3 linked regions of the Saccharomyces cerevisiae S288C genome follow. Changing the gene in region 1 together with any one later gene gives a genetic interaction. Each region holds a gene or a part of one and is shown on either strand. Other genes may lie near its edges.

Evidence for each region. A genetic interaction does not mean that the proteins touch.
Region 2: mutations in SEC28 (region 1) and CSF1 together harm fitness more than expected from each alone (negative genetic interaction), as found in Saccharomyces cerevisiae (3 studies listed by BioGRID).
Region 3: mutations in SEC28 (region 1) and UBC7 together harm fitness less than expected from each alone (positive genetic interaction), as found in Saccharomyces cerevisiae (4 studies listed by BioGRID).

Annotation. Positions count from the first base shown.
Region 1 is NC_001141.2:213,990-218,882, reverse strand, and holds SEC28 (coatomer subunit epsilon), read right to left. Parts: upstream 2,226-4,893; coding exon 1,335-2,225; downstream 1-1,334. Other genes in the region: proteasome regulatory particle base subunit RPN2, read left to right, coding at 1-1,020; RCI37 (Rci37p), read left to right, coding at 2,930-3,892; threonine--tRNA ligase THS1, read right to left, coding at 4,180-4,893. UniProt on the Saccharomyces cerevisiae protein: The coatomer is a cytosolic protein complex that binds to dilysine motifs and reversibly associates with Golgi non-clathrin-coated vesicles, which further mediate biosynthetic protein transport from the ER, via the Golgi up to the trans Golgi network.
Region 2 is NC_001144.5:312,732-317,566, reverse strand, and holds the start of CSF1 (Csf1p), read left to right. Parts: upstream 1-1,835; coding exon 1,836-4,835. Other genes in the region: GPI-anchor transamidase subunit GAA1, read right to left, coding at 1-1,460. UniProt on the Saccharomyces cerevisiae protein: Tube-forming lipid transport protein which provides phosphatidylethanolamine for glycosylphosphatidylinositol (GPI) anchor synthesis in the endoplasmic reticulum. Required for the glucose and other nutrients uptake at low temperature.
Region 3 is NC_001145.3:317,106-319,677, forward strand, and holds UBC7 (E2 ubiquitin-conjugating protein UBC7), read left to right. Parts: upstream 1-1,574; coding exon 1,575-2,072; downstream 2,073-2,572. Other genes in the region: MAC1 (Mac1p), read right to left, coding at 60-1,313; MSS1 (Mss1p), read right to left, coding at 2,332-2,572.

The DNA.
Region 1 (4,893 bases):
CAACTTCTATCTAAATCGCATAACGCTCATGTCAGATGTGGTACCGCATTTGCTCTTGGGATTGCTTGTGCCGGCAAGGGTTTACAATCAGCTATTGACGTTTTAGATCCGCTAACAAAGGACCCAGTAGATTTTGTTCGTCAGGCTGCCATGATAGCTTTATCCATGATTTTGATTCAACAAACAGAAAAACTAAACCCTCAAGTTGCTGATATTAACAAAAATTTTTTGAGCGTGATTACAAACAAACACCAAGAAGGTTTAGCCAAATTCGGTGCATGTGTGGCCCAAGGTATAATGAATGCCGGTGGGCGTAATGTTACAATTCAGCTGGAAAATGCGGATACAGGCACATTGGATACCAAGTCCGTAGTTGGTTTGGTCATGTTCTCACAATTCTGGTACTGGTTCCCACTGGCTCACTTTTTATCCCTTTCTTTTACACCAACAACTGTCATTGGTATTCGTGGTAGCGATCAAGCTATACCCAAATTTCAAATGAATTGTTACGCTAAAGAAGATGCATTCAGTTATCCGAGGATGTATGAGGAAGCAAGTGGTAAGGAGGTAGAGAAGGTAGCAACAGCTGTTCTTTCCACGACAGCAAGAGCAAAAGCAAGGGCAAAGAAGACAAAGAAGGAAAAGGGTCCAAATGAGGAAGAAAAGAAAAAAGAGCATGAGGAAAAAGAAAAGGAAAGAGAGACGAATAAAAAAGGCATAAAAGAAACAAAAGAAAACGACGAAGAATTTTACAAAAATAAGTACTCTTCTAAACCTTATAAAGTCGACAATATGACCCGTATACTACCACAACAATCGAGATATATTTCCTTTATTAAGGACGACAGATTTGTTCCTGTACGTAAATTCAAAGGAAATAACGGTGTGGTGGTTTTAAGAGATAGGGAACCCAAGGAACCTGTAGCACTAATTGAAACTGTTAGGCAAATGAAAGATGTTAACGCTCCACTTCCAACCCCATTTAAGGTCGATGATAATGTCGACTTCCCTAGTGCTTAGATCAAGGGTGCATGGTCGTACAGAAAATGAAGAATTAGTTCAAAATGCCAGAAAATAAATAATAGTGTACATACTTTTAAAAAAAAATCATTGAATTATTCTGCCAGGATTAGCTACTTTACGCATAATTCTAACGTGACAAATGTTGTTTCCGCTTTGTTAATTATACTTTATATGATTTTGTTCAAGCCATGTCAACCTCATTTATGGTACCATCTTATTCGGCTTTATCAAAATAGTATATAGGCATATACATGAAATATTTTTTTCTTTTTCTAAAAAACCTACATGTTTAATGTGAGATATTACGTAAATCAGTTGGACGTATCATATTTCCTCACTAATTCATCGAATTTTGCGTCAATTTCTTGGTGATGCTTGATGAATGCATGTTCGTGATCCAATTTAACCAATTGATTTGTTAAATCTTCAGTATCAAGACCTTGCATAAGAGCAAGCGTAATTTGGTTTGCTAAGAAAGTAGGTTTGTACAATACGGCGTTTTCTTTTTGTTCGACGCTATAGTAGTCAGATAGTAATAGCTCGACAATACCCTGAGCTTCAGCTATGTTTCTTTGCTGTAAATGCAAATTGAGCAATCCCAATTGAGTTTTCCAAGTAGGAAAGGTTTGAGATAGCTCTTCATAGTAGTAAAAGTTGGATGTTGCCGTTTCTTTGTTTGTGGCAAATTTAATGTACGATTCAGCCAGGTTTAAAATCATTTCGTTGTCACCGGAAACAGTATCCTCAATAGCATTAGTGTAGTTATCAAAGATGGTGGACGCGGTCGAAACGTTGTTGTTTAACAAAGCGACTTCGATGGCAAGCAGCAATAATTCTGTAGTCCCTTCTGCTTCGTCATTGTCAATCCCTTCTACACATGTCTCCAAACTTTTATCTAAGTCACCCAAGATAGCTTGAGCCGTGGCTAACAGATATAATTCATATGGTGAATTCTGTTTATCCTTTAACAAATTTTCTAATTCTTCAATGTTTTTTGTATCTAAGAACTGGACGTACAAGTCTAGTACCTTGCCAAGCTTAGAGGTAGGATCTTGTGATTGATATTGGCCTAGAGCTAAAAGGGTTTTCGCCTTGTAGAATAATAAGGTGTTATCTGTGACCTTGCTAAACTTCTCTATTTCCTGCAAACATTGCACGAAGTTCCCCGTGTAGTAATTCTGCTTGATATTAAAGTAATCCATGATTTTTTGTCTGTTTCTATGTTCTCCACCGAGTTCTTCACAATCCGTTCTTATACTGTAGCTTGACGTGTTTTTCTGTAGAAACTGTAGTTTTTCGCTTGACAAAAAACTGAAAAAGAACCAACAAAAAATTAAGATCACCTTAAAAATTAAAAATAGAATATCTTTATCCCATTGAAGACGCTGCATACGCACCTATACAGCAAGACAAAAGATTTTATACAACATTACGGTTCCAATTGAATGTAATGTTACTATATAGTGTGGACACTAAAGAGTGAGATCAGCGGGCGTCCTGATCGTTGCGTTGGAGCCATCTCCTGAATTCCATTTTAGCAACTATTGTTCCGGTATAACCTCTTTTGCAGCCTAGAATGTTGTGAGTACTAAGACAGATACCATTTCACCAGCTTGTGGCTCCCAATTCTTTGACATCAGCAGCACGCTGCTACAGTCGATCTTTGACGAGACGAATTTTAATAGCTAGCGTAACAATCCGTAACAGGAAATTTCGTTCATAGTTACTTGTTTATACATTATTTCCTTCTTTTTCTGTGTTTTTATTTCCGCGGGTGTAAGTCAAGCAAGGGTGAAAGCCTTATGAGCTAATGCTACTTTGACGCAGAACAGAACTTTTTATGTGTCAATGCTTAATATGATTTTCGTTTTAAGGAGCAGCCTAATTTCAAGCGTAGAACAAGGTGATGTTGGGAAAAGAAGAAGAACAGCAATATGGCCAGAATGGTAAGGGAATGGAAAATGAACTACCCTTTATGAAGAGGCCTTGGTTTAAAAAGGCTTATGAAAATGCTATTGAATTTCATGAAAAAGACGAATTGCTGGATGCAAGAGACAGGCTGGAGTTATCGAAGGCCTATAGATCCATTGCTAAAGCTGAGATGTGGGGTGGTTGGCTTGGGTTTTCAGCTGTATTTTTAACTCCATTTGCCTATCGTTACTACAAGACCAAGGCTATTAAAGGTGTTAAGGTGCCGAGGAATTTTGTCTTGGGTGTAATGGCTTTATTTTTTGCTACAAATTTTGCTGGTAGGTCCATGTATACACGACAGTTGAACGAACGTGACCCCACAGGTGTTTTGAAGGATAACTATTCCAACAAATATGGTGACAACGACTTTGGAGCCTTTCAACATGATCAAACAAAAGAAATTCCGAGAAATCAAAGGCAGTACAATATGATGCGCTTATTAGATTCAGGCTCCCCCTCAAGGTGGTCGATGTACTTTTACATAACGTACCAAAATCCGGAGAGAAGATTGCCAGACCCGAAAGTCAAACTGCAGCAAATGAAAAAAGGCGGAGTTTTTAACGGCTCGCCCTTTATGAACCAAAGGGATCCTATAGGATTGTATCGTAATAAGGGTAGAAAATCTCCTGACCCAATTGAAGGAGAGCAAAACGACAGTCCTGTTCTGTCTTCCTGGGAAAAAATCAGGAACGGCGACAACAGTTCGTCTTCATCATGGGAAAATATAAGGAACACCAGTAGAGATCAGTCGCAGGAATCAGATGCTTCAGTGGATCATGAATCCGATATATTTATCTCAGGATTTTCTGACGATGGTAATGCTACCGATAATTCCTCTTCTGATGACAAATATCAGCGTTTACTGCAGAGCGGGAGATATGGTGGGAACCGCTCCTAGACGACGGAGTAATAATAGCGTATGGTCACTAATTTGTATATAGGTATATGTTTGGGCCAAATTCGGCGGGTTCCTGAATTTGTTTTTATATATTCGTAACTTAAACACTGCCGGTGAACACCATCTGCATACCAAATTGCTTTCTTCCATATTGAATTCGCGCACATCTTATCGAAGGAAAAAAAAAGAAGAAATAGTTAATAGAGGTAAGATTCCTTCATCATACTCATTTTATTCTTTACAAAACATAAATTAAATAAGTCAAAATTTAACTACATAAAATCTCATTAAGCTAAGACGTTGTCACCTCTCTTTTCATCTTTCAAGTTACGCAACTGTTTCAAAACTTCTTCAACAGAAACAGTAGCATTTTTACCCTGTTGTTCCATAACGTCTCTGTTTCTAATGTTAACAGATTTTTCATTCATTTCTTGTTCACCAACAATAAAAATGAAGTTATATTTTAGCATTTGCCCGTTTCTGACCTTCTTTTGCAGAGTGTTACCGGTCAAATCGACATCGGCATAGAAGCCAGCATCGTGCAATTTGTTACGGACGTCTTCAGCATACCCTTGGTACTTGACACCAACTGGCACAACCAAAACTTGACGTGGTGATAACCAAAATGGCCATTTACCAGCAAAATGCTCGGTCAAAATGGCAGTCATTCTTTCAACAGACCCTAAAATGGCACGATGGATCATGACCGGTCTTTCGTAACTCTCGCTATCTTGATCTTTAGATTTAAATTCCAATTCGAACCTGTTTGGCAATTGGAAATCTAATTGGATGGTGGCACATTGATGCCATCTTCTTAAAGCGTCAGAAATCATAATGTCAATCTTTGGACCGTAGAAAGCACCATCACCAGCATTGATCTCCCAGTTACCACCCCATTTCTTTAAGGCAGATTCTAATTTTGATTCAGCGGCATCCCAGGTTTCGATCTTTCCAACGTACTTTTCTGGTCTAGTGGACAATTCCATCTTAAATTCAAATCC
Region 2 (4,835 bases), on another chromosome or scaffold:
GTCTTCACAAATGTCATAGGAAATGCCAATGTGCCGATCAGTAAAGCCATTGCAAAGTTTATCATTAGCAAAGATGTTGAAACCAAACTGAAATATAAAAAAGCAACATTTTTCAACCTGTATGATAGTGGTTCTGAGATGTGAATTTTTCTGGAAAGTATCAAAGGTAAAAAACAAGATGCCATGCTAATTGTCATCAATAATCCCGATGAAGGTATTAGAAGAAACGCTTGTGAAACAACAAATGATATCACCAATGACACGAACCAAACCAACAACGCTACCAAATTATACTCGGAAAATAAGGATATATTTGCATAAGCATTGTTTATAAATGCATTTAATGAACTTATGGCGAATGCTATAGATAAAGCCACAGCGCTTGGCAAATAACTACTAATGGATACGAACTGACGTGGTGCTAATAACAAATAAAAGAAGAACGATTGGTGAAATTTTTCCAAAAGGTTATTAATAGAGCGAAACATTGCTTCGGGTATACGTCCAAATGTAGTAATATCATGACCACTGTTTCCATGTGCTTTCAATGTTACAGATTGAATCCTCCAGCCGCTAAATGCCTCGTTACCATGGGGCTTTTTAACACCGGACAACGCCCAATCCCTTATTCCCAGGCATAATATTTTTAATCTTGACCAGAAATTATTATTAGTTAACTGATCACTGGGTAGACCGTGCAAAGAAACTTTCATACCTTCATGTTCCGTAATGGATATAGCGATGTTGACAAGATCCAAATTGGGCAGCTCACCATTCAGACCGTCGTATGAGATTTCTACATACTCGAAGAAATCTTCCGTACTCGAATAATCCAACACAACAGCAGCTTCAATGGAACCACCAGTCAAATCTAAGGAAGTATGGTATGCCTCAACCCATGATCTTAATGCTGCACGAGGATTTTCGCTGAAGACAACAATTATATTCTTGGACCATACTGGCCAACGTGAGAAAAATCTTGCTAAAGATACACCCAAAGCTGCGCCGCCAATATTGAATTCATCATCTGAATTAAACCATGGAACGGCAAGCACCATCGCTTCTGTTCCATCACCCCTAGGAGCGTGCATTACACCGTACAATGTTTCTCCATATTGTTCATTTTCGTAAATAGCAGTCTTAGTACCAAATTCTTGTAACCAAGAACCCATCAAATTGTTTCTTTCCATAGAAGTCATGTTTACCATTTCTTTAATTTGAGATCGATAGCCCCTCAAAATGTTCCATTCAGATTCTCTAAAGTAACTATACGCTTGTGAAGGCATCAATGCATTCTCAGAAATGTATGTTCTTCTGTACTGTCCATCCATAGGCAGAATAGCTATAGAAATAAACCCAAATAGAGCGCATAGCATGGAAATAACTGGTAATAAGGCGATTATACGCGGGACAAGCCCCATATCAACAATCCTTCGATGCAACTTCTCCAATAAGGCCATTCTTGGTGTATTATACGCGTCTTTGGTCTGTCAAGTCCTTTTATAAGACAGCAAATGTCATTTCTTTCTAAGTGTAGCCGGCGTGTATTGTTTATGACTTTTTTTTCTACCGCTGGCATTAAAGTGAGAGGTTCACGATGCGTTCCCAATAACTTCGTAGGGATGGCGATCAATATACAAATAGAGGGAAGCCAAACTCCCCACTATAAAGCTGTTGGCACGGTTTTATAAGCTTCAACCTTTCTAGGCTACAGGATACTCAAAAAAAATTACTGCGGTATTATCAACATAGTGCTCTTTGGAAAAAAAAAAAGAATAGTACTCATTAAAGCCACCTGACTCAAGTCTTCTATTGACGGTAATAAGTTAGCAAGCATGGAAGCTATTTCACAATTACGTGGTGTTCCATTGACACACCAAAAGGACTTTAGCTGGGTCTTTTTAGTAGATTGGATTCTCACGGTAGTAGTATGTTTGACAATGATATTCTACATGGGAAGAATCTATGCATACCTTGTAAGTTTTATATTAGAATGGCTACTATGGAAACGAGCGAAAATCAAGATAAATGTTGAGACACTTCGTGTCTCCTTACTAGGTGGTCGAATACATTTTAAAAACCTTTCCGTAATACACAAAGATTATACAATTTCGGTATTAGAGGGTAGTTTAACATGGAAATACTGGCTTTTAAATTGCAGAAAAGCAGAATTGATAGAGAATAACAAGTCTTCTTCTGGCAAAAAAGCAAAGCTTCCCTGTAAAATTTCCGTAGAATGTGAAGGTCTAGAAATTTTTATTTACAACAGAACAGTGGCGTACGATAATGTTATAAACTTACTATCAAAAGATGAACGCGATAAATTTGAAAAATACCTTAATGAGCATTCTTTTCCTGAACCTTTTAGCGATGGAAGTAGTGCTGATAAATTAGATGAAGATCTAAGCGAATCTGCATACACAACGAACTCTGATGCATCAATTGTTAATGACAGGGACTACCAAGAAACAGATATCGGCAAACATCCAAAGCTACTGATGTTTTTACCAATTGAGCTTAAATTTAGCCGCGGTTCCCTACTGTTAGGAAACAAATTCACGCCATCTGTTATGATTCTAAGTTATGAAAGTGGAAAAGGCATAATAGATGTTTTACCTCCAAAAGAGCGATTAGATTTATACAGAAATAAAACACAGATGGAATTCAAAAACTTCGAAATTTCTATCAAACAAAATATTGGTTACGATGATGCTATTGGATTGAAGTTTAAAATAGATAGAGGGAAAGTGTCAAAGTTATGGAAAACGTTTGTACGAGTCTTTCAGATAGTAACCAAGCCTGTTGTACCGAAAAAGACTAAAAAAAGCGCAGGCACATCAGATGACAATTTCTATCATAAATGGAAAGGTTTATCTCTTTATAAGGCTTCTGCGGGCGACGCTAAAGCAAGTGATTTAGATGATGTTGAGTTCGATTTGACGAACCATGAATATGCTAAATTTACATCAATTTTAAAATGCCCAAAGGTCACAATTGCATATGACGTGGATGTTCCGGGCGTTGTGCCACATGGTGCACATCCGACAATACCTGATATTGATGGACCAGATGTGGGCAATAACGGAGCACCTCCAGATTTTGCTTTAGATGTTCAAATTCACGGAGGATCCATCTGTTACGGACCTTGGGCTCAAAGACAAGTCAGTCATCTACAAAGAGTTCTATCACCGGTAGTTTCAAGGACAGCCAAACCTATAAAAAAACTCCCGCCAGGTTCTAGAAGAATATATACACTTTTCAGGATGAATATATCAATAATGGAAGATACTACTTGGCGTATACCGACGAGGGAAAGTAGCAAAGACCCCGAATTTTTGAAACACTACAAAGAAACTAATGAAGAATATAGGCCATTTGGATGGATGGATCTCCGATTTTGTAAGGACACCTATGCAAATTTCAATATAAGTGTTTGTCCTACAGTGCAAGGTTTTCAGAATAATTTCCATGTTCATTTCCTGGAAACCGAAATTAGGTCAAGTGTTAATCACGATATTTTGTTAAAAAGCAAGGTATTCGATATTGATGGGGATATTGGATATCCATTGGGTTGGAATAGCAAAGCTATATGGATAATTAACATGAAGTCAGAACAATTAGAGGCGTTTCTGCTACGTGAGCATATAACTTTAGTTGCAGATACGCTTTCAGACTTTTCCGCTGGTGATCCTACGCCTTACGAACTTTTTAGACCATTCGTATACAAAGTCAATTGGGAAATGGAAGGATATTCCATTTACTTAAACGTCAATGATCACAATATTGTTAACAATCCGTTAGATTTTAACGAAAACTGTTATTTATCCCTTCATGGTGATAAGCTTTCAATTGATGTCACGGTACCCCGTGAGAGTATTTTGGGGACATACACAGATATGTCCTACGAGATCTCAACTCCAATGTTCAGAATGATGTTAAATACCCCCCCTTGGAATACATTGAACGAATTCATGAAACATAAAGAAGTGGGGAGAGCATACGACTTTACAATTAAAGGTTCTTACCTTCTCTATTCCGAGTTAGATATTGATAATGTCGATACGCTAGTCATAGAGTGTAACAGCAAGAGTACAGTACTTCACTGCTATGGGTTTGTCATGAGGTATTTAACAAACGTAAAGATGAATTACTTCGGTGAATTTTTTAATTTTGTGACGTCAGAAGAGTACACAGGTGTCCTTGGCGCTAGGGAAGTCGGAGATGTCACTACGAAAAGCTCGGTGGCAGATTTGGCATCTACTGTAGATTCAGGGTACCAAAATAGCAGTCTAAAGAACGAATCTGAGGATAAAGGTCCTATGAAAAGGTCAGATTTGAAAAGGACTACCAACGAAACTGATATTTGGTTCACATTTTCGGTTTGGGATGGTGCTCTGATATTACCAGAAACGATTTACAGTTTTGATCCATGCATTGCACTACATTTTGCCGAACTTGTAGTGGATTTCAGAAGTTGTAATTATTATATGGACATAATGGCGGTTCTCAACGGGACTTCAATAAAGCGGCACGTTTCAAAACAAATAAATGAAGTATTTGATTTTATACGTCGTAATAACGGAGCTGATGAGCAAGAGCACGGATTGCTTTCGGACCTCACCATTCATGGACATAGAATGTATGGATTACCACCCACAGAACCTACCTACTTTTGTCAATGGGATATCAATCTCGGAGATTTATGCATTGATTCAGATATTGAATTTATAAAGGGATTCTTTAATTCCTTTTATAAGATAGGTTTTGGCTACAATGACTTGGAAAATATATTATTATATGACACTGAGACCATTAATGATATGACCTCGCTAACC
Region 3 (2,572 bases), on another chromosome or scaffold:
GTAGGGTGCATTTTCATTCCTGTTGCCTCAATGTGTTTTCTATCTGTATTTACGTGATTTTATGAAGTGGTGGCATCGCTTAGATGTGGTGCATAATTAGAGACTAATTTTTGAAACCACGCATGAATGTCAAGTAATTCTAACTGAGCATCTGTCATCAATGGCACTTGCAACTTCAAAAAATCCCACCAATATTTTGACGGCACCAATTTACCTTTGAATTTTATTTGAGTTTTCCTTGTTAATCTTGCATTCAGAATTCCATAGAAAAAGAATTTTTCAAATGGAATTATATTTGTAGAGTGAGAAAAACATCCATCACAAGTGCAGTTATCCGGAGGACATATGCATTCCTTGTCAGTGCATTTACAATCATCCAAATAATCCATCATCTTATCAGTAATTTGAGCTTCACCAATATTGGTTAAAGGAACACCACTTTGTTGAATATAAGAATTCAGTTCCTCTTCGCTTCTATGGATTAGACAATTAACACATGGGCAGCTTTCATCTTCACAAGAGCACTGCGTGCTTAAAAAAATGCCCTTATGAGTCAGGACTTCAACTTTCGAAGCAACGTCGCTTGAATGAGGAGCAGCAATCGTTGTTGTACTTTGTGGGGTGAGTGTTTCTGAACTGTCATGCGCACCAGGAACAGAACTATTGTAGTTTTCTTGTAAAATATCGTTAAAAGCGGACGTAGATTCCAAGGAGCCGTATGGCGTAAATATGTCATCAGACGGTGCCTTGTTCGTCTTGCCATTAGAAGCTGGGTTCTGTGATTTATCTTTCTTACAGCAGTTTGAAAAATGTCGTATAGGCTCCTGTTGAAGCCGGCTTCGCTCTTTCTTCTCACTTGAAGAAGATGACTTGGTAGAGTCCGGAGATATTGTTCCTGTTGCCGGAGCTTTGGGAGAGTGTTTCCTAAGAAACTCCGTTTCGGTGATATATTTGTTACCATCATCGGTAAATGTGCTAATATCTTTAGGCTCATGAGCAGTGAAACCTTCCTCCATTAATATATGCAATTTTCCGTTTATCATTCTTGCCTTTCTAACAGCAGAGGCACGTACAAACAGTATTGGCTGTTGATTCATTGCGCTGCAGCAGTCACCTTCAATTTGTGCACCATTTTCGTATTCTGTACTTTGCGATGTAGAGTCTACTAAAATAGCGTCTCTGATAGCCATGGGTGAAGGTCTTCCTCTAGTTCTCACCTTAATTAGCATTCGGTGAGAATGCCTGCATGTTGAAGAGCGATGCCCTCTGATGCACGATGCACACGCATATTTGTTCCCATTAAATATTATCATCTCTGATAGAGCTTGAAGAACTTACCAGACTGTTTCAAGTTTAAAACAAGGCGCCTCATCGCATCTACCTCACGAAGATGCAGCAGCTTATTGTCTCGAGATCCTTCTTATAACTCCTTTTCGCCATTACCCGAAAACGAGATTACAGCCTCTAAACCAAGAGCTCGAAAAGCGCCAAAGTAAACTCTGGCGTTTAGCGTACGAAGGAGATTATCCTAAAAGGAACTTCCCTAGTAATAGTGTAATTTGGAAGGGCATAGCATGTCGAAAACCGCTCAGAAACGTCTCCTCAAGGAGCTTCAACAGTTAATTAAAGATTCTCCACCTGGTATAGTGGCTGGTCCCAAATCGGAGAATAACATATTCATTTGGGACTGCCTAATTCAAGGGCCTCCAGATACGCCATACGCTGATGGTGTTTTTAATGCTAAGCTAGAGTTTCCTAAAGACTATCCGTTATCTCCACCTAAACTTACTTTCACACCCAGCATACTACATCCAAATATTTATCCAAATGGGGAAGTGTGCATATCCATTCTACACTCCCCTGGTGATGATCCTAACATGTACGAATTAGCGGAAGAAAGATGGTCGCCAGTGCAAAGTGTAGAAAAAATTCTATTAAGTGTTATGAGCATGTTGAGTGAGCCCAATATCGAAAGTGGTGCCAACATTGATGCTTGCATCTTGTGGAGAGATAATAGACCTGAATTTGAGAGACAGGTAAAGTTATCCATTTTGAAATCATTAGGATTCTGAAAGCAGGTAGCAGGTTAATGATCATTTGGTCTTCCTTTTAACTGTTCTCTATATACATAAATAAGCATATCTACCATCTAAAAGAAAGCAAATGTCACATAATAAATATGTTAAAATCTCAATGTCTTCCTGGCTTTTCAGGAATTCAAACCATTTCCATTTCGTTGGTGTATAATCAGGGGCCCCTCTACTCTCACCTCTCTGTACCGAAGCGTTAATCAATTTTCTTTTATTTATATACACGATGATTGTAACTAGGTTATTTTCCTATACAAAATTTGCTGAACACTGAATCTAAGATTTCCTCAATACCAATAGCTTGTCCTGTTATCTTAGCTATTCCATCGGATGCATACCTCAAATTTTCTGTGGCCAATACTATATCATTATGGAAATCTTTGGATTTGAAAAACTCTTCCAAGCCGTACAGTACGTCGTTTTTGAGAATCTCTGACACTCTTTTGGAAACAATGACAGGACTTGCATCGGCACTTGATTGA